Neurospora crassa OR74A: one gene and its partners. The protein of the gene in region 4 purifies or fractionates together with the protein of the main gene of each other region. This does not show direct contact. Links are inferred from orthologs where the notes say so. Each region holds a gene or a part of one and is shown on either strand. Other genes may lie near its edges. The genes, in order: NCU11053, rpn-6, rpn-7, rpt-3, rpn-3 and rpn-5.

The links.
Region 1: the proteins of rpt-3 (region 4) and NCU11053 purify together in Saccharomyces cerevisiae (affinity purification with western blotting; 5 studies listed by BioGRID, with this or other methods). This does not show direct contact. The link is inferred for Neurospora crassa OR74A from reciprocal best matches to the Saccharomyces cerevisiae genes RPT3 and NAS2.
Region 2: the proteins of rpt-3 (region 4) and rpn-6 purify together in Saccharomyces cerevisiae (affinity purification with mass spectrometry; 6 studies listed by BioGRID). This does not show direct contact. The link is inferred for Neurospora crassa OR74A from reciprocal best matches to the Saccharomyces cerevisiae genes RPT3 and RPN6.
Region 3: the proteins of rpt-3 (region 4) and rpn-7 purify together in Saccharomyces cerevisiae (affinity purification with mass spectrometry; 4 studies listed by BioGRID, with this or other methods). This does not show direct contact. The link is inferred for Neurospora crassa OR74A from reciprocal best matches to the Saccharomyces cerevisiae genes RPT3 and RPN7.
Region 5: the proteins of rpt-3 (region 4) and rpn-3 purify together in Saccharomyces cerevisiae (affinity purification with mass spectrometry; 4 studies listed by BioGRID, with this or other methods). This does not show direct contact. The link is inferred for Neurospora crassa OR74A from reciprocal best matches to the Saccharomyces cerevisiae genes RPT3 and RPN3.
Region 6: the proteins of rpt-3 (region 4) and rpn-5 purify together in Saccharomyces cerevisiae (affinity purification with mass spectrometry; 6 studies listed by BioGRID). This does not show direct contact. The link is inferred for Neurospora crassa OR74A from reciprocal best matches to the Saccharomyces cerevisiae genes RPT3 and RPN5.

Annotation. Positions count from the first base shown.
Region 1 is NC_026501.1:9,336,028-9,339,173, reverse strand, and holds NCU11053 (26S proteasome non-ATPase regulatory subunit 9), read right to left. Parts: upstream 1,968-3,146; 5' UTR 1,824-1,967; coding exon 1,671-1,823; intron 1,610-1,670; coding exon 1,202-1,609; intron 1,124-1,201; coding exon 995-1,123; 3' UTR 501-994; downstream 1-500. Other genes in the region: ran (GTP-binding nuclear protein GSP1/Ran, variant), read right to left, coding at 17-76. UniProt on the Saccharomyces cerevisiae protein: Acts as a chaperone during the assembly of the 26S proteasome, specifically of the base subcomplex of the 19S regulatory complex (RC).
Region 2 is NC_026502.1:2,996,535-3,000,497, forward strand, and holds rpn-6 (26S proteasome non-ATPase regulatory subunit 11), read right to left. Parts: upstream 2,472-3,963; 5' UTR 2,211-2,471; coding exon 2,026-2,210; intron 1,954-2,025; coding exon 1,871-1,953; intron 1,796-1,870; coding exon 789-1,795; 3' UTR 501-788; downstream 1-500. Other genes in the region: NCU01597 (hypothetical protein), read left to right, coding at 1-348; NCU01595 (SOF1), read left to right, coding at 2,990-2,995, 3,076-3,963. UniProt on the Saccharomyces cerevisiae protein: Component of the lid subcomplex of the 26S proteasome, a multiprotein complex involved in the ATP-dependent degradation of ubiquitinated proteins. In the complex, RPN6 is required for proteasome assembly.
Region 3 is NC_026506.1:2,285,886-2,289,814, forward strand, and holds rpn-7 (proteasome regulatory particle), read left to right. Parts: upstream 1-1,129; 5' UTR 1,130-1,485; coding exon 1,486-1,950; intron 1,951-2,030; coding exon 2,031-2,845; intron 2,846-2,928; coding exon 2,929-3,127; 3' UTR 3,128-3,444; downstream 3,445-3,929. Other genes in the region: NCU03971 (mRNA cap guanine-N7 methyltransferase), read right to left, coding at 1-687. UniProt on the Saccharomyces cerevisiae protein: Component of the 19S cap proteasome complex which acts as a regulatory subunit of the 26S proteasome, involved in the ATP-dependent degradation of ubiquitinated proteins.
Region 4 is NC_026507.1:3,146,038-3,149,972, reverse strand, and holds rpt-3 (26S protease regulatory subunit 6B), read right to left. Parts: upstream 2,801-3,935; 5' UTR 2,417-2,800; coding exon 2,220-2,416; intron 2,152-2,219; coding exon 2,053-2,151; intron 1,991-2,052; coding exon 1,021-1,990; 3' UTR 328-1,020; downstream 1-327. UniProt on the Saccharomyces cerevisiae protein: The 26S proteasome is involved in the ATP-dependent degradation of ubiquitinated proteins. The regulatory (or ATPase) complex confers ATP dependency and substrate specificity to the 26S complex.
Region 5 is NC_026507.1:3,274,541-3,278,729, forward strand, and holds rpn-3 (26S proteasome non-ATPase regulatory subunit 3), read right to left. Parts: upstream 2,801-4,189; 5' UTR 2,134-2,800; coding exon 1,941-2,133; intron 1,870-1,940; coding exon 548-1,869; intron 465-547; coding exon 321-464; 3' UTR 27-320; downstream 1-26. Other genes in the region: NCU02223 (hypothetical protein), read right to left, coding at 3,487-3,744, 3,872-4,189. UniProt on the Saccharomyces cerevisiae protein: Acts as a regulatory subunit of the 26S proteasome which is involved in the ATP-dependent degradation of ubiquitinated proteins.
Region 6 is NC_026501.1:3,064,196-3,068,319, reverse strand, and holds rpn-5 (26S proteasome non-ATPase regulatory subunit 12), read right to left. Parts: upstream 2,801-4,124; 5' UTR 2,563-2,800; coding exon 2,479-2,562; intron 2,411-2,478; coding exon 2,354-2,410; intron 2,290-2,353; coding exon 1,570-2,289; intron 1,514-1,569; coding exon 890-1,513; 3' UTR 444-889; downstream 1-443. UniProt on the Saccharomyces cerevisiae protein: Acts as a regulatory subunit of the 26S proteasome which is involved in the ATP-dependent degradation of ubiquitinated proteins.

The DNA of each region.
Region 1 (3,146 bases), on a different chromosome or scaffold from region 4:
TGGGATGTGGACTGACCTTGCCGGTACCACCGTCACCGACGAGGACGAGCTTGAAAGTAGGGGTCGCGGCAGCCATTGTGTATGATGCTTAATATCGCAGGCGAAAAGAAGCAGGTAAACAAGTCCTTTTGGGAAAGTCAGCTATCGACCGGTCGGAGCGACACAGATGGGCGGGGTATCGAATGGTTAAATAAGGGCGAGGGAGGGAGGGATCCAAATCGAACTAGAGACGCACCTTTGCGATTTTGCAGAGGGTGGGAAAATGGGTGTGGTCAAAAAGAGAGGAAGCAGTGGACCTCAGACAGCCTGGTGGATGATGTTGTGTTTTCAAGGCACCGCCGCTCAAGGGAATGAATGGGCCACCAGCCTTGACGAAAAACTCGTTGGGCGGCGGGGTGCTTGTTAGGTGACGGGCACGTGACCCGCCTGGTCAGTGCGGTACCCTCAACCAACTGAAGGCAACGAACCTGATGCGCGCAAAGTCAAACCGATCGATGAGGCTGCCATTCACTCCGTCTTGCCGCAATGCCGTCCGTTCGTGTCTTATTTTCTGCTCCTGACGTGCTGACGTGCTGACAGTCGCGTGTCGGGAACAAAGAACTGAACCTACCAGAGGTTTCAAGCGTTGGGCTACAGTGAATGCGCACTCTCATGGCATCGACCTTATCCATCTATCTCTTTTTCCATTTTGTCATCAGGTTTGCTCGTTCAAGCTCGTTTGTTTTGTTTTGGTTCTGGCCTCGTTACTACGGTGAGGGAGAACCCCCTGGCGTCTTGGCTTTTTGGTTCATCTTTCGAATGCCAGTCAGTCTCAGATCCGTCGTTTCCTTCATTACAAAGCAAATTCCCAAAGAGGCCTCATTTCCAGGCGGCAATGGCGCATCCTGATTCTTCCCTAACATATCTGAGCGGATTTGGTGCCCAATGACGCTACTCTTGTATCACAATCTTCTTCTGCCTAGTTCCAGGCCATCATCTCGCCCCGGTTGCCTTTTCATAGTGGCAAGATATGGCATCCAAGCATACCTCTACCGCCCCAGTCGCGGCGAGGAGTCAACGTTAGCCGAAGCTCTTGGGTTCGTGTCCCTGCCGTGCTCCGAGAGACCTTGACGAGGATATTTTGCTACGAAGTATACCCGGTTAGCTCAGCTTTCTCTAGGTTGGCAACTACTGAGGATGGACAGAGCCTGGCACGACTTACCCCTTCATTACCCTGAACACACTCTGCGACCTTCCTTAGGCTGTCATGGTTGGACCGGTTGACATAACCAAAGCTGCGAATCAGATCACCGGCCTTGAGACCTGCTGTGGCCGCCGGACTGTTATCAACGACACTGTTGACTTTGGCAAATGGCTGCTCCAGGACTTCGGGTACCGAGTCTGGCAGCGGTGCGGATTGATCCGTGGGAACAGGTGTTGACTCTTCGTCGTCGTCCTGGATGCTGGCGAAATGCTCATGCAGACGCTTCTCGATCAAGGCCATCAGCTCCTTGTAGTCGTTGCGAAGATGGATGATGCGCGACCTTGTTGTGCGGATTTGCGCAACATCGATATCTGATCTGGGAAAGCCATCGGGAGTAAGGAGGTTTGTGTTCATGTCAACGCCGTGCTGGAATATTTGATCAGTCAACTGGCATGATGAAGGCTCGAAGGATATAAACTGGACCAACCGAATCAAGCACTCCGCTGAGCGCCTTGAGCTCCCCCTCGATAGCATCCTTCTTGCGCTGGAGCTCAGCAAAGGATAGATGGGCAGCACTGCCGTTGGTGACAGGGGCAGAAGTCGGTCCCGAGGGGACAGTAGGCGCATGAAGATTGCTCATGGTGAAGGGTTGTAATTTCGTAATATCTTATAAAGGGTAAGCCTCAGTTGTGGAAATCACCAAGCATGATGAGATCTCGATCTCAGATTGGAGTATGTATGTACCTAGCTGGCTCGTGAATTACCTAGGTAGGTACTTTGTAGAGTACTCACATAACCCGACCCCATACCCAAAGCTTCCTAACCCAAGTGGATACGCTAAGACCGACCCCACACTATAGAAAATCTCTCAATTAACTATCACCCCTTTAATACGTCGCATACATACCTTTTAACTTTCCCTATAGAGAAATAACCGGCGCTTTTGATCCCAATAAACGAAACTTACCTACAAATAAGAAATATATAAGTCCAAATAATATTAGCCCGAACTCACCCTTCCGTAAACCTTCCACAACAATTCGTAATAACACCTACGTAATCTATCCCTAATTAATCTCTAATTTATTATATTTAATATAAAATAAGTACTAACCCTATTTCTAACGCTAATACTTTAACTATTATTACTAGGCTTAATTTAATTAAATAGAATAATAAAGTATTTAATAGACCGTCTATTATATTCGAATTATAGTAAATTATTAGTATAGTAGCCGAATTTAATAAATTAAAGGATTTAAAGGATATAACCCCTCTTAATATTATAATACTTAATAATTTCCTAATAAATCTTTATTAATATATTTTAAATATATCCTATATTAATTAATAATTAATCCTATAATATTAATTATATAAAAGTTAAAACTATAGGCCTAACGCTTATTTTATTTAATAATATCAATTAATACTCCATTTTTATCGAAATAATATACTATATAATTACTATTCTAAAATACCCTAAGTCTTCTACTCTTAGTATAGTATATATTATAAATATTAATAGTTTAACCGAAGATTAGGTTAAGGCTCTATAGAGCGAGGTATGTAACGGTAGTATTTTAAAATAAAATAGTAATTTAAATAAAGTTAATATCTAATTACTCTCTTATATCCTAGATCCAATATTGTATTGCAAGGAAAATGCTTGCGAAGGAAACTTCCTCTAATTATTTGAATAACGCTATCTATTATTATACTATATACAAATATATTGGTATTAAATATTGTAAATATTTAGACTATAGAATTTAGTAGGTGTATAAATAAGGGTTTATACCTATAGTCGACGAAGAAGTTATAAACCTTTTATTTTAAATCCGCCTTCAATAGGATAAAGTCCCCTTAGCTAGGCGAATTATTAAGTATAGATTTATCTATAATTTATCCCCGGCTTTAATTATATTACTATAACCTAATTAATGGTAATTATTATTTATTA
Region 2 (3,963 bases), on a different chromosome or scaffold from region 4:
CTCTACTACCCCCACTCCCCCACCCTCTCTTCTTTCCTGCACCAAACGTACCGCCCCTCCCCTCAACAAACCACCTACGACCCCGTCACGCGTCTTCCCATTGACGAGTCGGTGGTGATTGAGCAATGGCATTTGGACGTCGTCTACAAGTTTCGGGAGATGTTTAGACGGGCGTGGGGAACAGATGAACTTTACGGTGGTGTGTTTGCGATGGATGAACAGGAAAAAGGGGGGTGGAGTGAGGGGGAGTTGGTCAGACGGGTGTATGCGTTTTTGGTGGGCGAGAGGAGGAGGAGGGAGGGACGGGTTGATAGGGGGAGGAGAAGGGGGAGGGGGGTTGTTTGTTAGTTTATGCGTCGTGATGTGTATTGAGCATGGGAAAGGACATGAAAGAATGGGCATAGATGGATGGTTGGATGGTTGGGAAGGGGAGAAGGGAAGAACAGTGAAAGAAGGAACTGGATACCCAAAGTATAACTGGATGGACGGATGCATGAGTAGGAGATACCATGTTGTTAAATGGTTCTTTGTACAAACATTGGTTGTTTCTAGTTTCTGAAATTTGGACATACGATATCACATATCTGCAACAGTTTGAAAGACCAGACCACCGTCATTGCTCAAAACTTAGACTTATGATCATGCGGTTTATCGTGTTTGTTTCAGTACGCCCGACTAATACCATATCTAAGCGTAATGTTACAGACGAACCCCATGTTGTAAACCCCTAAACCATCCATCCATCCATCCATTTAAACCCTGCTTCTGCCTTGAACCTCGCTTTTTTTTTACTCAAGCTGCGAGGCCTGGTTGGTATAAAGCACATCAACCACATTGCTAAGCTTCTCAATGGTCTTCAGCGCCGCATCGTACGCCTCATCCCGGTGCGTCTCATCGTAAATAATGAGGCAGCCGGCGCCCTGGTCCAGCACTCCAATGATCACCTTATCCAGGATCATCTGCGACAGCTTTCTTTCCACCTGCTGGGTGTCCAAGCCGACCATCTTGGCGATATGGTCAATCTCCACGCGGCTGAAGGGCTCAATGACCTTGATCAGGTTTTGCTCCAGCATGGCATCGTACAAGCGTCGCAGGTGGTTGCGGATGAAGGTGTCACTACCCAGCTCATAGCGGTAAGCCGCCAGGGCGCGCTCGTACTCCTCGAGAGATCGGTTGCTGTGGGCGCGGGCAATGGCCTTCATGGCCTCGAGCGACTTGCCGGCGTACTTGACGGCCTGCTTGGAGGTCATGAGCTGGTTGACGTCATCGGCGAGGTTGAGCATGATCTTGCAGAGCAGCATGTACTGCAGCGCGGCCTGGGCTCGCTGCGGCTCCTCCTGCGTGTGGTAGCCGTCCAGCGCCTCGATAAAGTAGCTGAAGGCCGTGTTGAAGTCCTTGTCCTCGGCGTGCAGCATGCCCGACTGCATGTCCAGGTTGGCCTGGAGCAGAGGAGGGGTGTAAACGGAGGCGGCGCTCGTGCGCGCGCTGGTGAGGGCGGCGCGGGCCTTGGCAATGTTGCCGAGGGCGTGGTATACCCGCGACTCGAGCAGCTGGACTTCGACGAGGACGAGCTTGTCGTCCATGCGCTTCAGCTCACGGAGGAGACCGTTGATGAGCGTCAGGGCATCGTAGTAGGACTGCTTGGCCATGTACAAGGCGACAAGACGGGTTTCGAGGTTCTGGCGGAGGAAAGAGCGGCGCTCTGATGTGGCCCATTCTATACACGACTTGGTGACGGAAATCTGGATGTCGAGAGAGTCGGGGATGGCTTCGAAGAGGTCGAGGAGCTGGCGGACTGCATGTATCAACCAGTGTTAGTATCCTCATGAGCTTGTATAGCGCGTCAACAAAGCTGATGGCGGGGTCGTACCAAGCTTTGCCGTCTTTGCCTTTGCGAACGAGGAGAGAACTGTGCGGCTCTGGGTTACGAGGTCTACAAGGCCTTGTGAGTTCCTGTACACGGTGATGGGAGGTTAGTGACCGTACCCCTCCTCGATGACCACGACATACACCAGCCACTCTTACTTCTCGTCGCGATAGAGCTCTCCCAAGTGAATCAAAGCCGTCTCGTATTCCCGGATGGCCGCGTCAGAGGTGACTGATGGCGGCTTGGAGATGATATCCTTGTAAATCTGCTCGGCCTGGCGGGGGTCGGTCGAGACCACCTTCTGCGCCTCGCGCACTCTCTCTGATGCTTCGCCCTGGGCCATGGTGTCGTGTGCTGGTTGTCCCGGTCGCCAAGTGGTAAGCGGTAGTAGTATAAATCGAGAGTTTGGCTATCGGATTGGATGTGATGGTGATTACTCGAGGTCGCGGGGGGATATGCGGCGTGTCGGTGGTCGCAGAGTGTCGGCTTGGAAGTTGTGGTTGTTGTGGTGTTGAAGTTGGAGCTCAGGTTGTTCTGTCGTGACGAACCTCACCACCCGTCCTCTGCTGGAGCACAGCTGTTACCCAAGTCAAGTGCAGGCGGCATGTCCACTAACGAGACCTCTGTACACTACGTACCACCGCTAGGTAGCCAGGCGCGACGTAATTAGCTGGAGACATCCACCTACAGATCCCTGTCAATTCACGGCAGGCAAGCCCAGCTCTCGGTAGCTCAGGCCCTGTCCATCCTTTTGGCAGCGAAGCTCTAACATTCCAAGCCTAAGCGTTTAGCAAACTGCCAAGAAGGCGGTCAAGATTCTTGCCGCCAGACCCCGCCAAAATTTCTCCAGAGGAAGGGGAACGGGAGCTGTCAAACTGCCCGTGTCCGACTGTGCTCCCCAATTGGCGACAGACGCTCCCGGCATCCATCCATCCATCCATTCATTAATTCCAACGTCGATAACTGTATCACAGCACCTGTGCTTTGCGACAAGGTGTACCGACAGACTTCAGCCATACCCGGCCTCATCATATACAATTATTCACACTCGATATCCGTCGGCCTTGGTAGCCTTCTCATCCACGACCCCTTCAACATCATCAACAGAGAAACACCGTCACCATGAAGGTACTTGGGCCTACCACACGCGACGCCCATCAAGATTCGCAAACCCACTTCTAGGCTCACCACTGACACTTCTACAACAGATCAAAGCCCTCAGCCGAAACATCTCGGCCCAGCAGGCCCCCGGTAACGACGTCACCCGCGCACCCCGTAACCTTGCGCCCGAACTCCATCCCTTCGAGCGCGCTCGCGAGTACAAGAGAGCCCTCAATGCCGTCAAGTTGGAGAGAGTCTTCGCCAAGCCCTTCCTCGGCCAGCTAGGAAATGGCCACGTTCAGGGTGTCTACAGCATGGCCAAGGACAAGAACTCGCTACACACAATCGCTTCCGGTTCGGGTGACGGTATCGTCAAGGTCTGGGATCTCACAACACGGGATGAAGCATGGAAGGCTGCCGCCCACAACAATATCGTCAAGGGAATGACCTTCACCAACGACAAGAAGCTTCTCACATGTGCCACCGACGGCATCAAGCTTTGGGACCCTTACACCAAGACCGACTCCCCAACGCCACTCGCGACATGGCAGGAAGGTGGTCCATACACGGCTCTCTCGTTCCACCGCAACACCAACTCCTTCGTTGCCTCTTCGGGCGCCGGCTGCATTCGTATTTGGGATCTCGAGCACAGCACGGCTCCTCAGACGATACAGTGGCCGAACCACAGCGACACCATCACCGATGTTTGCTTCAACCAGGTTGAGACCTCGATCGTGGGTTCCGTCGGCACAGATCGCTCCGTTATTCTGTTCGATTTGCGCACCAACATGCCCGTCATCAAGACTGTTCTCAAGTTCGCCGCCAACCGCATTGTCTTCAACCCCATGGAGGCGATGAACATGGCTGTTGCCTCAGAAGATCACAACGTCTACCTCTTCGACGCCAGGAACTTCACCAAGGCGCAGAATATCCAAAAGGGCCACGTTGCGGCGGTTATGGACGTCGAGTTCTCTCCTACCGGCGAGGAGCTCGTG
Region 3 (3,929 bases), on a different chromosome or scaffold from region 4:
ATACCGATCGCGCGCCTGGTCGATAGAGACATCTGCTGGGTCCAGCCCAACATAGAGCTCTACGGGCTGTGGCGCCTGCTGCCATTTGCCCAAATCACCGCCCTTGCCGCATCCAATGTCGAGCACCAACAGCTGATTGTTCGAACTGATTCCCCGCTCACGAGCGCCAGGCGAGTGGTCTTCGTCAGGAGAAAACTTCTGGATGATACAGCTCTTGACCCAGTTGTTGAAGGAGCGGAGACCTTTGATGCGACTGTCCGTCTTACGCCAGTCACGGCCACGCTCGGGCACAGCATTGTAATGGGCACGTACGACGTCATTGACCGCGTTGCGGCGCTCAGCTTCGGCGGCCGCTTCTGCCTCCCGCTGAGCCTGGCGCTCGCGCTCCATCTGACGTTGACGAATCTGTTCGCGCTCGGCTTCCGTGATGCGGGCACGTTGGCCAGGCCGCTTCTGCTTTCTAGGCTCGCCGCTGGTAGTGGGGGTTTGTGTTCTCTTGGCCGGAGCTAACTTGCGGGCATCAAACGGCTGTGGGAGGACATCGTTGTCGTCCTCATCTTCGTCATGCCTCGCAGACTTGTATCGACGGTCTTCGTTGCGGCCATTGCGGTCGTCGTCGTAGGGCGATTCTGAGCGTTGCCTCTTGCGAGTGGACCTATAACTGGTGTAACCATCGTAGCCTGACATTTCTGGAAAAAACTGTTGGTGTGGTCTCGCAAGGAGACTTGATCATCGGCAAGAACAACTATGGCAAGCGTACAGGCTTCGTGTAACAGCAGAATAACTGATGCGACGGTGAGTGGTGTGAGTTGTGATTTTGACTGTTGATATCGATTGATGCGAGTACAGACACAGGCAAATCCTGAAAGTGAATTCTGGGACTCGAAATTCGGTATGTCGAAGTTGAAAGCTCTTGTTATTGTTGTTGTTGTTGTTGTTGTCGAGGAGAGAAAGCAATTGGAAAGGAAGTCGGGATGCAAGTGTTTTGAGGATGCAAGCATGGGTCGGTCGGTGTTTGAGCCGATGAAGTGTGCCTGCCCGGGCACTGTTCCAGCGGCTCCACTTGCAGGCCTGGCCCGCCTTCCAAGCTCTGTCTCCACTTTCCAGTGCTGACGCGCGAGCTCTGGGGGCCTTGGTCACTCTCCAGTGAGGTCAGCTACTCTATCGACCTTCCGAACCATTCAAGGAGCACCACAACTAAACCACAGACATCACCACCACCCAGCCTCACCTCGACCCGGCATCTTTGGTAGAATCACAGCGCCAGGCCAAGTCACACATTGCGATCCAGTTTCCAAGAGCTTTCAACACCGCGAAACTTCCCATCTTAAGCCGGCATCCACCTCCATCAGCTGCTTGCCGATTTCCAGCGGGGTGCTTCTACCAGACGACGGACACTGACCAGCACCGGACCGTCTTCCATTTGCATCCTCCTCTCCCATCTCCCTCCTTGGCTCGTAAGCTAGCACCCATCACAACTACAAAATGGGCTCCGATCCTCAATACGCGAAATGGCCTCTGCTGCCCCTCGCCCAGCATGTCTTCACCCTCACAAACCCCTACGCCGCCCGCCCTGCCCAACAAGCGGCCGTTAAGAACCTTCAAGATGCCATCACCGAGCACAAGATGGCGCCCTTTTACCGATACCTCGCGCACCCTACCGAGGGTGTCCTTAACTCTGTTGGGGAAGGCGGCTCCAACACTGCCGGTGCCGGAAGGTTGGGTAGGAAGAGCAGCATCGCCGCCGGCATGATCGCGACCCACAAACCCACCACAAGCTTAAGCCTACCGTGGGATGAGAACCTGTACCAGCAGCTGCAGGCCGAGAACGAGAAGGAGCTTGAGGAGTTCCAAAAAGAGGAAGATGAGGCTGTCGAGAAGGCGGGAGACACAGAGATCCAGGCTGCCAAGGGAAAGAGGGCCGAGTTCTGGGCCCGAGTTGGCGATAAGGTTGGTCACTACAAGTTCACTTAGCTACCCATCCACTCCCACCAACCGACATATACTAAGCATACACTCTTCCTATTCAGGAAAAAGCCATCGCCGCGCACCAAGATCTGCTCGAGAAGACGAGCATTCTAGGTACCAAGATCGATCTCGTCCTCGCCTTAATCCGCCTCGGCCTCTTCTTTGGCGACAAGCAGCTAGTCCAGAAGACTGTCGAGCGCGCCAAGTCGCTTGTCGAATCGGGCGGCGACTGGGACCGTCGCAACCGCCTCAAGGCCTACGAGGGTCTGCACTTGCTCACCGTGCGCAACTACAGCGGCGCCGCCCCCTTGCTCCTCGACAGTCTGTCCACCTTTACCTCGTACGAACTCTGCACCTACAGCAACCTGGTGGTCTACGCCGTGCTCGCCGGTTCCGTCTCGCTCAAGCGCGTCGACTTCAAGTCCAAGGTCGTGGACGCCCCCGAGATCAAGGCGATTCTTGGCGACGGAGAGGACAAGCTGCTCGCACTGACCGGCGCCATCTCGGCCGGCCCGGGAGCCGACGCCTCGATGCAGGACGCCGATAACGCCCCCGTGGCGGCCCGGACGGCTGTAGTTAACCTGACCACGCTCGGCAGCAGCACGGAACAGCCTGAGGCGGAGATGGCGGTCGACTTTGACCCGCTCGCGCAGCTGGTTAGCAGCCTGTACAACGGCCGGTACAAGCTCTTCTTCCAGGCGCTGGCCCTGGTGGAGGAGCAATTCCTCACCCAGGACCGCTACCTGCACGAGCATAAGAACTGGTTCATCCGCGAGATGCGCCTGCGCGCGTACCAGCAACTGCTGCAGAGCTATCGCGTTGTGGGACTGGATAGCATGGCCAACGACTTTGGTGTTACCGTGGATTTCTTGGATCGGTTGGTTTTCCCCTTGTTTTTGTTCTACCCCTCTTCCCCCCGACACAAGTTCTATATATACTGATCGTACATCACAAAAACAGTGACCTAGCAAAGTTCATCGCCGCCGGCCGTATTCCCTGCACCATCGACCGCGTCAATGGCAAGGGTGTTATCGAGACCAACCGGCCCGACGACAAGAACAAGCAGTATCAGGACGTGGTTCGCCAGGGTGACCAGCTGATTACCAAGCTGCAGAAGTACGGACAGGCTGTTCGGTTGAGGGGAAGCGAAAGGGCGTAGTAGAGAACCAACTTGAAGAGAGTTAGAAGCTAGCAGTGAAACAAGGGGAAGGTCAATGATGTATAAGCGAGCTGTGCTATCGTTAGCGATTACCTTGGGAAGAAGGGAAGGGGATATGAATGATCAAGGGCATGGATTGAGTGGATGGATGAAAGGCGGAGAGAAATCAGAAGAGAATAGAGCCTAAAGCAACCTATCACATTAAATTGTCGTTAGGGCCTAACTCGTCTCTAGTAAGGACAAATGACACAAAACGACTTGCTCCTCATTGTCACGGATATTGCATCATGTGTTCATAAGACTCCGTTTCTTCTTGTCCAGGCTTTTTTACTTTTGTATTCGTATGTCCCTCGTATCCTGGATAAGGCTACGTACATACGTGCAATGCAAAAGGCTAGCAAAAAGTACAAACGCTGAGGTATCATCAAAGATCCCATAACCAACCAACCAACCAACCAAACCAAACCAAAAGCCGAACCAAATCGCTCTTTTTTTGTCCTTCATACTCCGAGTTCTGCTTGGTAAACAAGATTTCGCTCGCTTTTTCCGTACCATGTTTCCCCTCAACTTCATTATCCGGTCCCGGCGCTGGGATGGGCAACATATCTATCCCTAAGGTAGATGAGCGGACAGGGCAGGTGACATTCTACAAGGGAGAGAAGGGATGATATCTCCAGGGTCACACCCTGTTCTTCCGCGGCAGCTTTGATACTTGAGGGGCTGCAGAACCGATGAACGAGCGCCCCCCTTGTGCGCAGCGTCATAGTCAGACCATCCATCCATCTCGAGGACACTCGACACC
Region 4 (3,935 bases):
GTGAGCGGCGGGAGAGGGGACTGAGTGAGTGTGTTAGACTGACTACAACGATACCTACCTTAGGTACAATCCCAAGTAGGTAGTTACAAGTAGTAGTTACAAATAGTCACATGGAGGATATACACCCTTTACCCCTCAAATAGCATCGAGGTTATTTTGAAGTTTAAACAATAAGTCCTTTTTTTTTCCTTCACTTTTTTTTTAATGAATGTCAAGTGACGGCAACGATATCTAGGAACTACCATAGTGTAGACGCCCTGAGTGGTACTTAAAATTTTGAGGTAACCACTCAAGGTCCTGTTATCAATATGTATGTAGGATAGTATTATCGGATTTTACTCGCTGGAATACCCAAGTACGACCCGACCCTGGCCTCTCTTGCCATCCATAAGGGAGGACATGCTGTAGATACGGTGTCTTACCCTTTCTTATCATCTCTTCCCCTCCCTCCCCCCTGACAAGAAATGTTCTCCAAGCCGACCTTATCATTTTTCAGTAGACAAGAATCTATATTGAAGCACATTACATTTTTCCGACATATCCTCCCTTCATTTAAATGGGATTTGCTATAGCTACGGCGTTTCGGGAACGGAGAACCACCATACAGCCGTAGATGTATCTACATATGTATCAAGATAAATGGTGGCATACCATGACCTGGAGAGAAAGAAAGCGCACTGAGAACTCAATTTCGCCGAGCAAGTTGATCTGAACATGTAAATAGTATCAGCTGGGAGCCAGGGCATCTTGCTTCTTTTCGTTTGGGTGTTACTACTTTTTCAGTTGGAGCAACTCCAGAGAGGTACGCACATATATATATATGTTGGTACCGCTCTAGATTTATTCGCTAGTGTACAAATTGGTTCGCTTCTATGAAAGTCTATAGTCCCTGCTGATCTGGGGCACAAACTATATTTTCCCAAGGCAGCAAGAAGCATAGCACCAACCCACCCAAAATGCAATCTCCCACATGTTCCGTGGTCCTCGACCCCAACACAGCTAGCCCATGACGCCGATGGTTTACTTGTAGAAATCAAACTTGTTCTCGTCGCTCGTACCCTTCACTTGGCTGCTGTAGGCGTCCTCCAAATCAGCCTGGATGATGTTGTACCTGTTCTTCCGTACTGCGCGCAGACCGGCCTCCTGCATAATGGCAGCGATGACGGCACCGCTGAGAGGATCGTTGCGGACAATCAAGCTGTCAAGGTCGACCTCAGGGGCCAAGCTCATCTTGCCAGCAATCGTGGTGAAGATGAGACGGCGCTCGCGGCGATCGCGCAGGTTGGGAAACTCGATCTTGCGATCAAGACGACCGGGACGCAGCAGGGCGGGATCGAGGGTGTCGGCACGGTTGGTGGCCATGATCACCTTGACGTTGGCGGTCTGGTCGAAACCGTCCATCTGGTTGAGCAATTCGAGCAGAATTCTTTGCACCTCACGATCGGCACCCGTCTGCGCGTCGAAACGCTTGGTCGCAATGGCATCAATTTCGTCGATGAAGATGATGGCGGGCGCGTTCTCACGAGCCATGCGGAAGACGTCGCGCACCATGCGAGGACCCTCACCGAGATACTTTTGTACGAACTCGGAACCGACGACGCGGATAAAGTTCGCTGTCGTCGAGTTTGCGACCGCCTTGACCAACATTGTCTTGCCGGTACCGGGAGGACCGTAGAGAAGGACACCGCGCGGGGGGTCAATGCCGATCTGCTTGTAAAGATCAAAGTGTGTTAGGGGCAGCTCAACGGCTTCCCGAATTTCCTGCTTCTGCATATCCAACCCTCCAACATCGGCATATGTAACGTCGGGCTTCTCGTCGGCACCGAGCATAGCAATCGAGGAGTCAGCCTCGGGCGGCAAAATATCGACGACGGCATTAGAGTGACGGTGGAGCGCTACGGAGGATGAGGGCTTGAGGAGCTCGCGATCGAGAGTCGAAAGGATACGGACGACGTAGTTTGAGCCAGTACTGGATTGAACGATACCCGTGCTGAGAGGAAGGGTTAGTCTGGGCCAGTTTTGAAGACGGGGGGTTGCATTGGGCGGCCATACTTTTGATCGATAGCTTCCATGAACTGTCCAATCACCAAGGGGACACTTTGAATCCTCTTGATTTCCTCCTGGGCACGTACAAGCTCACGCTTCAAGCTCCTGCCAGATACCATGTTGTCAGCCCCTCCTCATCAAGCTCTCAGCGCGTGGAGCTTCTGTGACCATACCTCTGCTCATCCTTGATGTATTCCTCCTGCAGCTTGATGTATTCTAGCTGCCTCTGAAGCTTCTTCAAGGTAATGTAGTCATCGCCGCCCTCTGTTGACACGCCCTCGAAGGTCTCGATGTTGGGGATCGCCGAAGGGGCGGACTTCTTTTGAGGCTGGGTCACACTGGCCGGGGTCTCGACAAGGACGTCGCCCATCTTGGCGGATGTTTTCTTGTGATGGTATTAAATGGCTTGATCGATATGTTTCCGTGTGTTGTATCGCGAGCGCTCAGATGCGCGATTGTAATTGACGTGGGTCTGGGGGATCGGTCGGGTGGTATTTCTTGTTGTTCTGTTGTCGTCGTCGAGGTTCGCCTTGTGGCGCGTGTCAGTAGTAGGTTGTCGGTGCTAGCAGTCGCTGATGCAGTGGTCGCTGTTGCTAGTAACAGCAAGCTGGGCTAGCTGTGGCTCGTCATTCATCTGGAGCCTGCGTTGCCGGGTGCTGCCATAAGCACAGTGATTGGCTGGATGACCACGTTCTGGCAGTTATAGTGGACTACCAAGCACAGCTACGGTGCCTGCTTTGTACAATATAGCTTGTATAAGTGCCACACTTATCGATGACAGATGCTCCATTTTTTGTAGCCAAAAGTCGCACTTCACCAGAGACGCTCCAGCTGCAAGTGGGGCTGTTGGACAGTGTCAAGGGGTGACTGCCGGACAGTGCAGATTGGACTGAACTGAACTGAAGCGGCGGGAGCCTTGTCGGTGGCTCCCCCCTCCATGCAGGTCGACCTCCACTTCAAGTTGGGTGCCACCATCGCAGTTGAGCGACTCCAGCCTTTCTCAACCCCACATCCACACGGGTACCCTTGCTAGGCGTCACGAAGTGTCACCTTGACGGCCAGGTCGGCTTGTCGTCCGCCGTCCTCCCCCCGTAACTTGTCTCTGGCTTGACCTCTACACTATTGACAATCGTCTCTTATTTGTTTGATATGTCTTGCATGCTATCGCAATACCCGACGTGGTGTAATTAAGGTTGAGAGATATGGCAGATCCCATCGTCGTAACATCACTTCTCTGTGGCTCAACGTACACTACCGCGATAAGGGATCGAGTTGTCATTCCGAAGACGGCCGATACCAGTTTCTCCACTGTTTGGATCGAATGATGCGGCGATGATATGCTATTGTGGTCACCATACACCACCCTGCATCCCGTGTGTTAGCTAACACATCCTTGCCTGGCTCGGGCCCGTCTGAACGCATCATGGCCATGAAGCGGTGCTGATGAGGGATCGCGAGGCGTATGATGAATGAGAAGGGAGAGGGTTGCGTAGTTGGGGTTTGAATTGCGGCAGTCCAAAGGTTAAATTGCTGGCTTGACTCGATACACTATTTTTCTCTATACAGTACAGTAGAGCGTGCGTAGCCGGTGACTGTCTGAGGAACTGGGGTTGAACATCTTAAGCCCTGAAGCAGATCAGCCTGGGCTCCCGTCATCCGGCGTGTCTCGGTGTGAAGTTACGATAACGACAAAGGACGATTCAGGAACTTTATGTAAAAGTACAACATGAATTGCAGAGCGGTATACTTACTGTAAGCGCAGGAAAGTGCAGACTTACATAGACATGCAACTGAACTGAACTCCATCCACCCGTCAATCCTCGGGTCCCCTACGCAGGCAAGGAAGAGACCCCTTCAAGCATCCGGTGTAATCCCGTGCGTCCATGAAT
Region 5 (4,189 bases), about 130 kb from region 4:
TGAGGAACAAACGAAAAAAAGCATGCATGAAATGTTGATGGGTGGTTGTGCCCGATACACAGTGGATACGTCTAATGAACAAGTGAGGCAAGATGGTAGGTGATATACGGTTGTAGCGTATTTTCTCTAGCATAAGGCTCTGTCTCTTCTCTCTTCCCGTCTTATTTCTTGGCCGGCGATAGCACGATTCCATACCAGATTACTAGATACAACAGGGATGATGATGATGACTATTCCCAAGACCAAATTATAGGTATTGGGCGGGGTCTATCTAGGTAGTTTAGACTCGTGTGTGGTGTGTGTGTGTGTGTCTAAACATCTTAAATGCCCTCAAAGTCACCACCGAGATCATCCTCATCCAGATCGCCCTCCTGTATCTCCTTGGCCAAATCACGCTCGCGCTCTCGTGCTTCCTGGGCATTCTTCAGCTCGAGACGGTGCTGGTTCATGGGGAAACGCATGGCCTGCAAAGAAAGAATTTGTGAGCAACAAATCTATCATAACTTCTGGAATTTGAAAGGGGGAGAAAGAAAAAAAAGAAACATACCTTGACACTCTCATCATGCAGAGCCAAGCAGGCGCGGATACGGTCATGGAACGCCTCGGCCGGTTCGCTGGTGGCATACACGTCGCCCACCTCCTTACTCTTCATGAAGCCGCGCTCCCTGTCGAGCGTGGCCTCGATGACGCCGTCCCTGATCGCCTTGGCCACAATGTACTCGGCACTCTCCTCGCTGCCGAGGTGCAAGCGGATGCAAATGTCGCGGAGCGAAATGCGGCTGTAGCTCAAACTCATCATGCGGATGCCCGTCTTGATGACGTTTTGGCGCAGACGCAAAATCAAGCTATAGGTGCCGTCGCGGCGGAAGGTGTCGGCATGCTGGGCGATGGTGGTCTCGAAGTCCTCGAGGTTGCCGACGCGCACGGCGCGGACGAGCAGGAAGTACGGGTGGAGAGTGGCCTCCATGGTCAGTTGACGGAAGATGGCGCGGTCGGGGATGTCGCCCATGAGGAGCTCTACGACGAGCAGGAGCTTGGTGGCCGTCTGGCTGAAGCCAAGTGCGCAGGCGCTCGAGGGAGCCTTCCGTGTCGCCGCAGTGAGATGCTCATGGGCCTCGGTGTACCGTAGCTGAATAGCCCGGACACGGCCGAGGTAGTACAGGAAACGCGCGACCTGGTTGTTGGCAGCGTTCTCGGGGAACTGGGTATGCTGCACCAGCAGATCGGCCTGGGAGATATGCGACGTGAGGAGGTAGTTCCGGAGCAGGAGGACAATGACGGAAGCCTGGGTGTCGATATCCTTTCGTAGCACGGCGGTTCGGAGAGCGGCGAGGAGGATCGGGCGGATCGACACAATCGGCGACTGGGGGGAAGGCGGGAGGGGAGCGAGCTGCTCGGCAAAGAGCGAGAAGTAAAAGTACACCTTGGCCGAAAGGCTGTCTAATGTGCGGCGGTTGAGGGACTGGATACGCTCGGATAGGAAACGCGACAGGGCGAATCCGCGCTGGAACTGTTTGGTGTCGTAGAGGTGGACCTGCGCCAGAATGCCTAGGAAGATGTCGATCTCAGGAATCACCTCCTTGGGGTCCTTCTTGCCACCGTTCTTCGCTGGCGACTTGGATCCCGAGTCGATCTCCATGTCTGAGCTGCTGCCGAGAGTCACATTTGGCCGGTCGACAGCGAGCAGCAGGTGCTCGGCAACTTGAGTATTGGGTGAGGACGCGGAGAAGGTTTCTGAGACGACTTGTGCGAGGATGTCGGGCGTCAGGCGTTTCCGGATCGACGAGATGGATCGCAGTGCCCGTAGAGAGAATCTGGGATCGAACAGGGCAACAGCACGGTCTAGCAGCGCAAAGTTGCTCTTGATGTCTGCGCAAGCGAGTGATGGTTAGTTCAGCTCACAAAGATAGATGAAGCTGGGGACTGGGAAGGTACCGTACCGCTGATGGTTTGGGCGACGGGGTCGACCTGGGCCTCAACCTCGCCGGCCTTGGTGTCGTCTTCCATGGCAATGTCGCCATCGGCGTCGTTGGGAGGTTGCGCAGAGTTCTGCTTGTTCTTGGGAGGGGGGACTACGACGGTCATTTCGTCCTCGCCTTGCTTTCCCGACTTCTTGGTATCCTTGTCCGTCATGTCGAGATCCTTTCCACCCCAATAGCTTCCGTGCTCAAGTGGTTCCTTATCTGGAGCGGCTCCGGGTTTGGTTATAGGCTGGCTGGGCTGGAGGTCGTGGTTGCTGTGTTGGTAACGGCCCGATGGTCGATGGGAAACGGGGTGATGATGTGGTGGGGGTTGACGGTTGCGTTGGCGCGGTGGGTGATGTTGGAATGCTGTGGTGCGGTGATGATGACGCCGTTTTGGTGGGCAACCTAATAGAGCAGAGGTATGAGTTCGAGTTGCTTGGGGCGATCTCGCGAAGCGCGCCCTTCTTGCAAGCCTGGAGCAAGCACCTTTAGCAGCAGCAGCTGGCAGAGTCGCAGTGGATCTAGCTCTAGGCGGGGAATGGAGCACTAGAGGTAGAGAGGGAGGTATCTATGGGGGTGACTTCGTCGTCGGCGTTGTTAAGCGAGGGCCAAGGGCAAACTGCTTCGTCGTCGTTGTCGATGGATAACTACCTAGGTAATTCAATCCAAGCTGTGTACTCGGAGTTCGGTGCAGGAAAGGAAAGTTCAAGCTTCACAGACCCGTGTTTTGCTTGATGGGAGTTGTTGAGCTGATGATTGAAAGGAAGTACCTACCGGTCACGGTTGGGCCAGCATACAAGAGCGGACGACCAACTGAAGGGCCGCCCTGTGCAGTGAGTGAGTGCTATGGTGGCCTTCGGACAAGCTCCAGAAGAGCTTCACACATCTAGGCATTGTGATTGGCCAGATTGTCTTGAATGGGTCCACTGCGGCTCGTCACTGACGTTGTTGATGTGCTGCCTGTCGACGACGTCCAGGCAGGCTCGAGGCAGGGTACTTAGGTACTTAGGTACACCTTACATTACAAGTACTACAAGTGTAGGGTAGACAACATCCAAAACATCTTACCACCTCGACCACCAATGTAGACTTTTACAAACTGAGTTGGTCTTGGGAGACATGGCTCCTATTTCAGGATGGTGTTAGCAACCATTGCCTATACAATATATGGTCCTCGCTTTCTGTCTGCATTCCCAAGATGGCATTATCACGGGGTTGAATATGCATATGCCTCCTGAACCCTGCATCATCTGGCATATCACGGCAAATCTGCACTTGCTTGCAACCCATTATATTTGGAGCTTGTTTCGTAACCCATAAAGGATTGATGCTTCAACCTAAGCCATATTATGGGTAGCTCATGCCAGGGATAAGCATACAAGTATCCCGAGATGAATGTATTTCCTCCGTCTCATCCGGTACGCCACCCTTTTCCATTTCCCACCCCCAAAAGAATTACCACATCCATGCAAACAAGCGAGACCCGAAACCTCTTGTTCATTCTGGTCTGAATACCCTTCCATTAAAGATCCCCCTTGCCCGGCATGACCTTGGCGGCCTGCACCGCGCTCATCTTGGTGATCCACTGAGCATTGGGCTGCACCTTGCGAACCGTCCTGAGCTCGTCACTAGAGTAGCCAGGGATACGGATGTTGTAGGTACGCTCCAAAACAAGCTGGATATCGCGGATCTCAAGAACCTTGGATCCTCTCTCCTTTGCATTGCGGGACGCCGCGTGGAGGACACTCTCTGTAAAGCTATCGGCGAGACCAAGGACGGACTGAAAAGGAATGCCACGTTAGCTGGTTGTGTGGTGATGACTTTGTGAGTTTGCTAAAGGGGGTTAAGGAATGACCGCGGACTTCCGCAAAGAAAAACAAAGGATTATCAGGTTGCAAACAACGTACCTCCTCAACCTCAGGTGTCAAGAGATTTCCGTCTTGGCCCTCAGCCGTACCACCGCACACCTGCCGAACCAGCTCGTCCAGCTTCTTCTTGTTCAAAACCCTCTCACCCTCGCCCTCAAGCTGGTAGGCCGGGGTCTTCTGCAAGACGGGCTGATTCATGACGCCGACACCGGCTGTGCCACCGCTCAGAGTCGGGCGACCAGGCGGGCCTGCAACGGGCGTGGGAATCTGCGTCGCCTTTTCCGGCAGGGACTTGGCGATGGGGAACTTGGAGGCCTGAATGGTCTGGGGCATAGCGTTGGGGTGAGCGTGGGGATG
Region 6 (4,124 bases), on a different chromosome or scaffold from region 4:
GTAGGCTGTTTGTGTGCTTTCTGGGCGACACTTGGGAGTATCGGCATGAGTGAGTGGGTATAGTGATGGTGTAGTGTACTGTATTTCAATTTCTGAACGTGGAAGACTGCACTTTACGGAGACATCAACTCGGGAGGAACGACTACGAGGAGTTTCCCCACATCATAACAGTCTCTACCTATGCTCAATCGACGATGGCCATGATGTGCATCTGACGGGTTCCCATCGATTGTTCCCGTCCTGGCATGTCATGCTCGGATCATGGCATGACATGGTAGCGCCGGCTACTGCCTTGGTTATTGGTTGATGTCTTGGCCAATATGCATGCCGATGTTGCCGGGGGCAGCGGGGGTTCAAGACGACCGGGGGTCCGGGCACGCGGCTGGCACTCTTGATACCTCCAGTCTCACAACGATACATATCACGCAAAGCCTCAAGGCGTCCGCTAAAGTATTGGGCGGTTCATCACTGTCCACTGGTGAAGCTGGAGAGATGAAGCCCTTTCGTATTATCACTATTTATGCGGGCTTGATTTTCGAACAACCTGCAACAACCTACGGCATCACTTGCGTACAGGCAACTGGAGCCTTCCGTATGCTGGACATCTCGTTTTCTACCTGGCAGTAAACTGCGCTCCCTTCAACCGGGATATAAGTCATAAATAATTACGTCCCTTGTGCTCCATAGTAGTCATGTCTATTCATACAAAGCTGCTAGTTCTTGCTGTAATGCATCCAGCCTTGCTTTGGCCCACGAAGTCTCTGCCGGGAAGATGGCGACTAGGGAGTAATTTGACTCGACGGCTTCTCGCCTCGCCCTATGGCCGCGATGGTTACCGTCTGTTTCTGACCACAACTGGGGTCAGTGCAGTAAGGAAGCTTGAGCTTCTCTAGCGCGCCGCCGCTTTCTCCTTACTGCTCTTCTTTGACGACTTTGCTCCGGGTTGGATTCTTGCCATCATTTCCTCCTTGGTAATCAGATGGTCAATTCTTTCCAGGTGGCCTAGCAAGCTCTTCATGTTGAAGCTCCACTCGTTGAGGATATCGTCCGCATCCCGCGGCTTAGCAAAGCTCACGATGCGCGCCGGGCGGTCGATCTTGGCATAGACCGTTTTGGACGTCACGAGCTCGCTGATATACTTCTCCGTCTCGTCCTCGGTCAAATCCAACAGCTGGGTAAGGCGATCCACACGAATGCGCGTGTAATACTTGGCCACCACACGCACATTATGCTCGATGACGCGCTTGCGCAGGTCTTGCCAGCGCTGGAAAGCCTTGTCGTCGGCTGACTGGTTGGGCTCCGAGTCGAAGATCTCGGTGCTGCAGAGGTGTGGGCCAAAGATTTTGGAAACCTCGGGCCAGCGCATGAGCTCGTGGACGGTAAACAGCTTCAACAACTCGGCATCCTGAGGGACCTGTGCGATTCGTGGGTCCTTGTGGATTCTGTGAAGGAGATCGTGTTGCTCGTTGTCGTGAGGGGCAAGGATGATGAAGTAGATGATTCTTTGCAGGACCTGTCAACCCATGTTAGTCTAAGAAGATCGCCATGTGGTGTGTCTGAGAAGCTTACGGCCTGCAACTTGGCGGGGTCCTCCTCTACTGCCTCGGTATCCAGCACTTGACGGTAGTACTTGCAGACGTCGAGGTATCTTGAGTCGTGCTTGGCCAAAATGATCTGTTGTTCGTAGTATCGCAACTTGAGGTCGGTGACATCATCTTCCTTCTCCTCGGAAACCTCCTCACCCCTGGCCTTCTTGGCCTCCCTGTCCTTCTGTTCCTTGTCGAGCTGCTCTTGCGTTTTCTTGGGCCTGCGCGCAAGGTACTTGGTGCTAATCTTTCTGCTGAGAATGCCCGCCTGTGTCCAGTCCTTGCTCTCTATGCAAAGCGCCACCTGAGCCAGAATGAATTCCGTCTTTTCCCTCCTGTCCATGGAGCCAAATGTCTCAACCTGAAGCTCGCACAGGATATCGGTCGCAGCCTTGAGATCGCCCTGCTCTTTCTTGATGTCGGAGAGAATCTTGGTGACGCGTGCGCGCTCAACCTCGAGAAAGATCTTGCCCTCGGTAACGGTGCGCAACGTCTCGATGACGGAGAGCTTGGTCTCCAGGTTCGGGGTTTCTGGGAGGAAGTCGATGACGGTCTGTACCATCTTGGTGATGGCTTGTTTGAGCTGGCCATGTTTCTTGGAGAGAACAAGGGTCTGGTCGTTGAGCAAGCTCCAGTCGCCTGCATTCTTGCAGATGGTAACGATAGCGACCAGGATGCGGGATGTCGATGCGAGGTCGGAAGCCTGTCGTCGGCGAGTGGTCAGCGTGAAGGAGCGGGGGACAAGGTAGGTGGTCCAGCGTGCTTACCTGGCGCGTCTGCTTTTCGAGGACAGAAAGCTTCTCGATAGCCGCTTGAATGTCTGTCTACAAGGGTGTTTCATTATTAGTATACGGTCTGCAGACGGTGGCAACCATGGGAGTTTTGCGATTACCTTGGCCAACTGCTCGGCCTCGGGCAGCAGCTTGTCGACTTCCTTGGAGAAGTCCTTCTCCGGCTTGAACGCAGGCTCCGCCATGATGTGCAGTATTGAGGATGTGTGGATAGGCGCTGTCAGACTATTTCAGGTATCGTGGGCTGGGCGGCGACTACACTGCGTTCGCGATGGGTTCGTGTTGTTGATGTTGTGATGATTGAGGGGCAGTTCGTTTGTTAGGTTGTAGGTTGTTTGGAGACTGAGGTGCTCTTGGAGGTACCTTGAGTGTCGTCAGTCCAGCGATTGGCGTAGTGAGGTGCTGTGGTTAGGTCGTCACGGTAGCTGCCCTGCTGCTGGAGTGGGACCTGTCACTGCTAGCAACCCAAGCACACTCACTGCAGCGGTACGTACTTGGGGGTTGGAGGGCGGCCTGGTGTGGGTCCTTTTCTCCCCCCCTCTTCATTAAAGAGGGGGTAAAGTAATTGTGGGACAGCGTTTTATTATGGGACAAGGCCGATGGGTACCATATAGATTTGCTTATTAACGCCCTGTAAAATCGCTTATTTGCATCGTAAAATCGGTAATAGCGTTGCAACAAAACCGTACCCTAATTCGTACAATTTTATTGCGTAAATCTATGAAAAATAAGCAGTCTATATATATCTATAGATTAATAGTAAAATTGTTAATTTACCGTATAATACCCGTAAATTTCGATTAGTACTTTAAGGAGTTGGACGAAGCGTCCGCTAGCTACTGTGGCGCCCGTATATATCTTAAAGCTTATTGGCGCTTTAAAACCCTTAGAAATAGGGTAACGAAGCTATTAATTGTTAAGGATATTACTGCTATTACTAGTAAATCCCGTATATTGATCTTTTATTATATTAAATCGCTACGCGAATTCCAAAAGCCTGCCGTCTCGTCGCACCCAATAGGAAAACCCTATATACTAATAAAAGCTGAGGAAAGTACTATTATATTGTACGTAATATTCTACTTTCAAGGACGGTTCCTAGCGTTATACTAAATAGTTATTATAGCGGCAAATCGATTACGCTTATTATAGGGTACACCGGAGACCTACAATACAATATAATTAGCTAGCTTCCTCAAAGACTATCTAGAGTTCAAAACTACTATTTACTGTATAGTTAATATTAAAAGAAGGTTTTAGGAATTAAATAAGGAGTCTATTAACGAGTAGTTTAACGAGTACGAGGTTATTATTAAGAAGTACGAAGTTGAAAGAGGCGATATTTAGAACTATAATGAGATAGGGGTAAAATTCGGTTGCGTAGCGGGTGGGCGAGTAAGGGTAATTGTATTAAAGGAGCTAGTAAAGTAAAAGCTAGAGATTAACGATATTATTAATTGCGAATCTACTACGCTTATAGTAGGAGTAAGTGTAATGGGGTACGTAGTATTAACGTACTTAATATTTAAGACCGACCTAATAGAAGATTTCCTTATTAATAATTTAAATAAGGGGGTTAGATTTATTAAATTGCCGATTAGCTTCTCAAATGTAAAATTTACCTTCGATTAATTAAAGTACTTTAACTATTATTCTTTTTACTTATTATTGACTTTTATATAGTTAAAGGAGGAGGACGGTTATAAATTGGGAGAAGAAGGGTTCTCTTTTACTAAGTAGTTTAAGT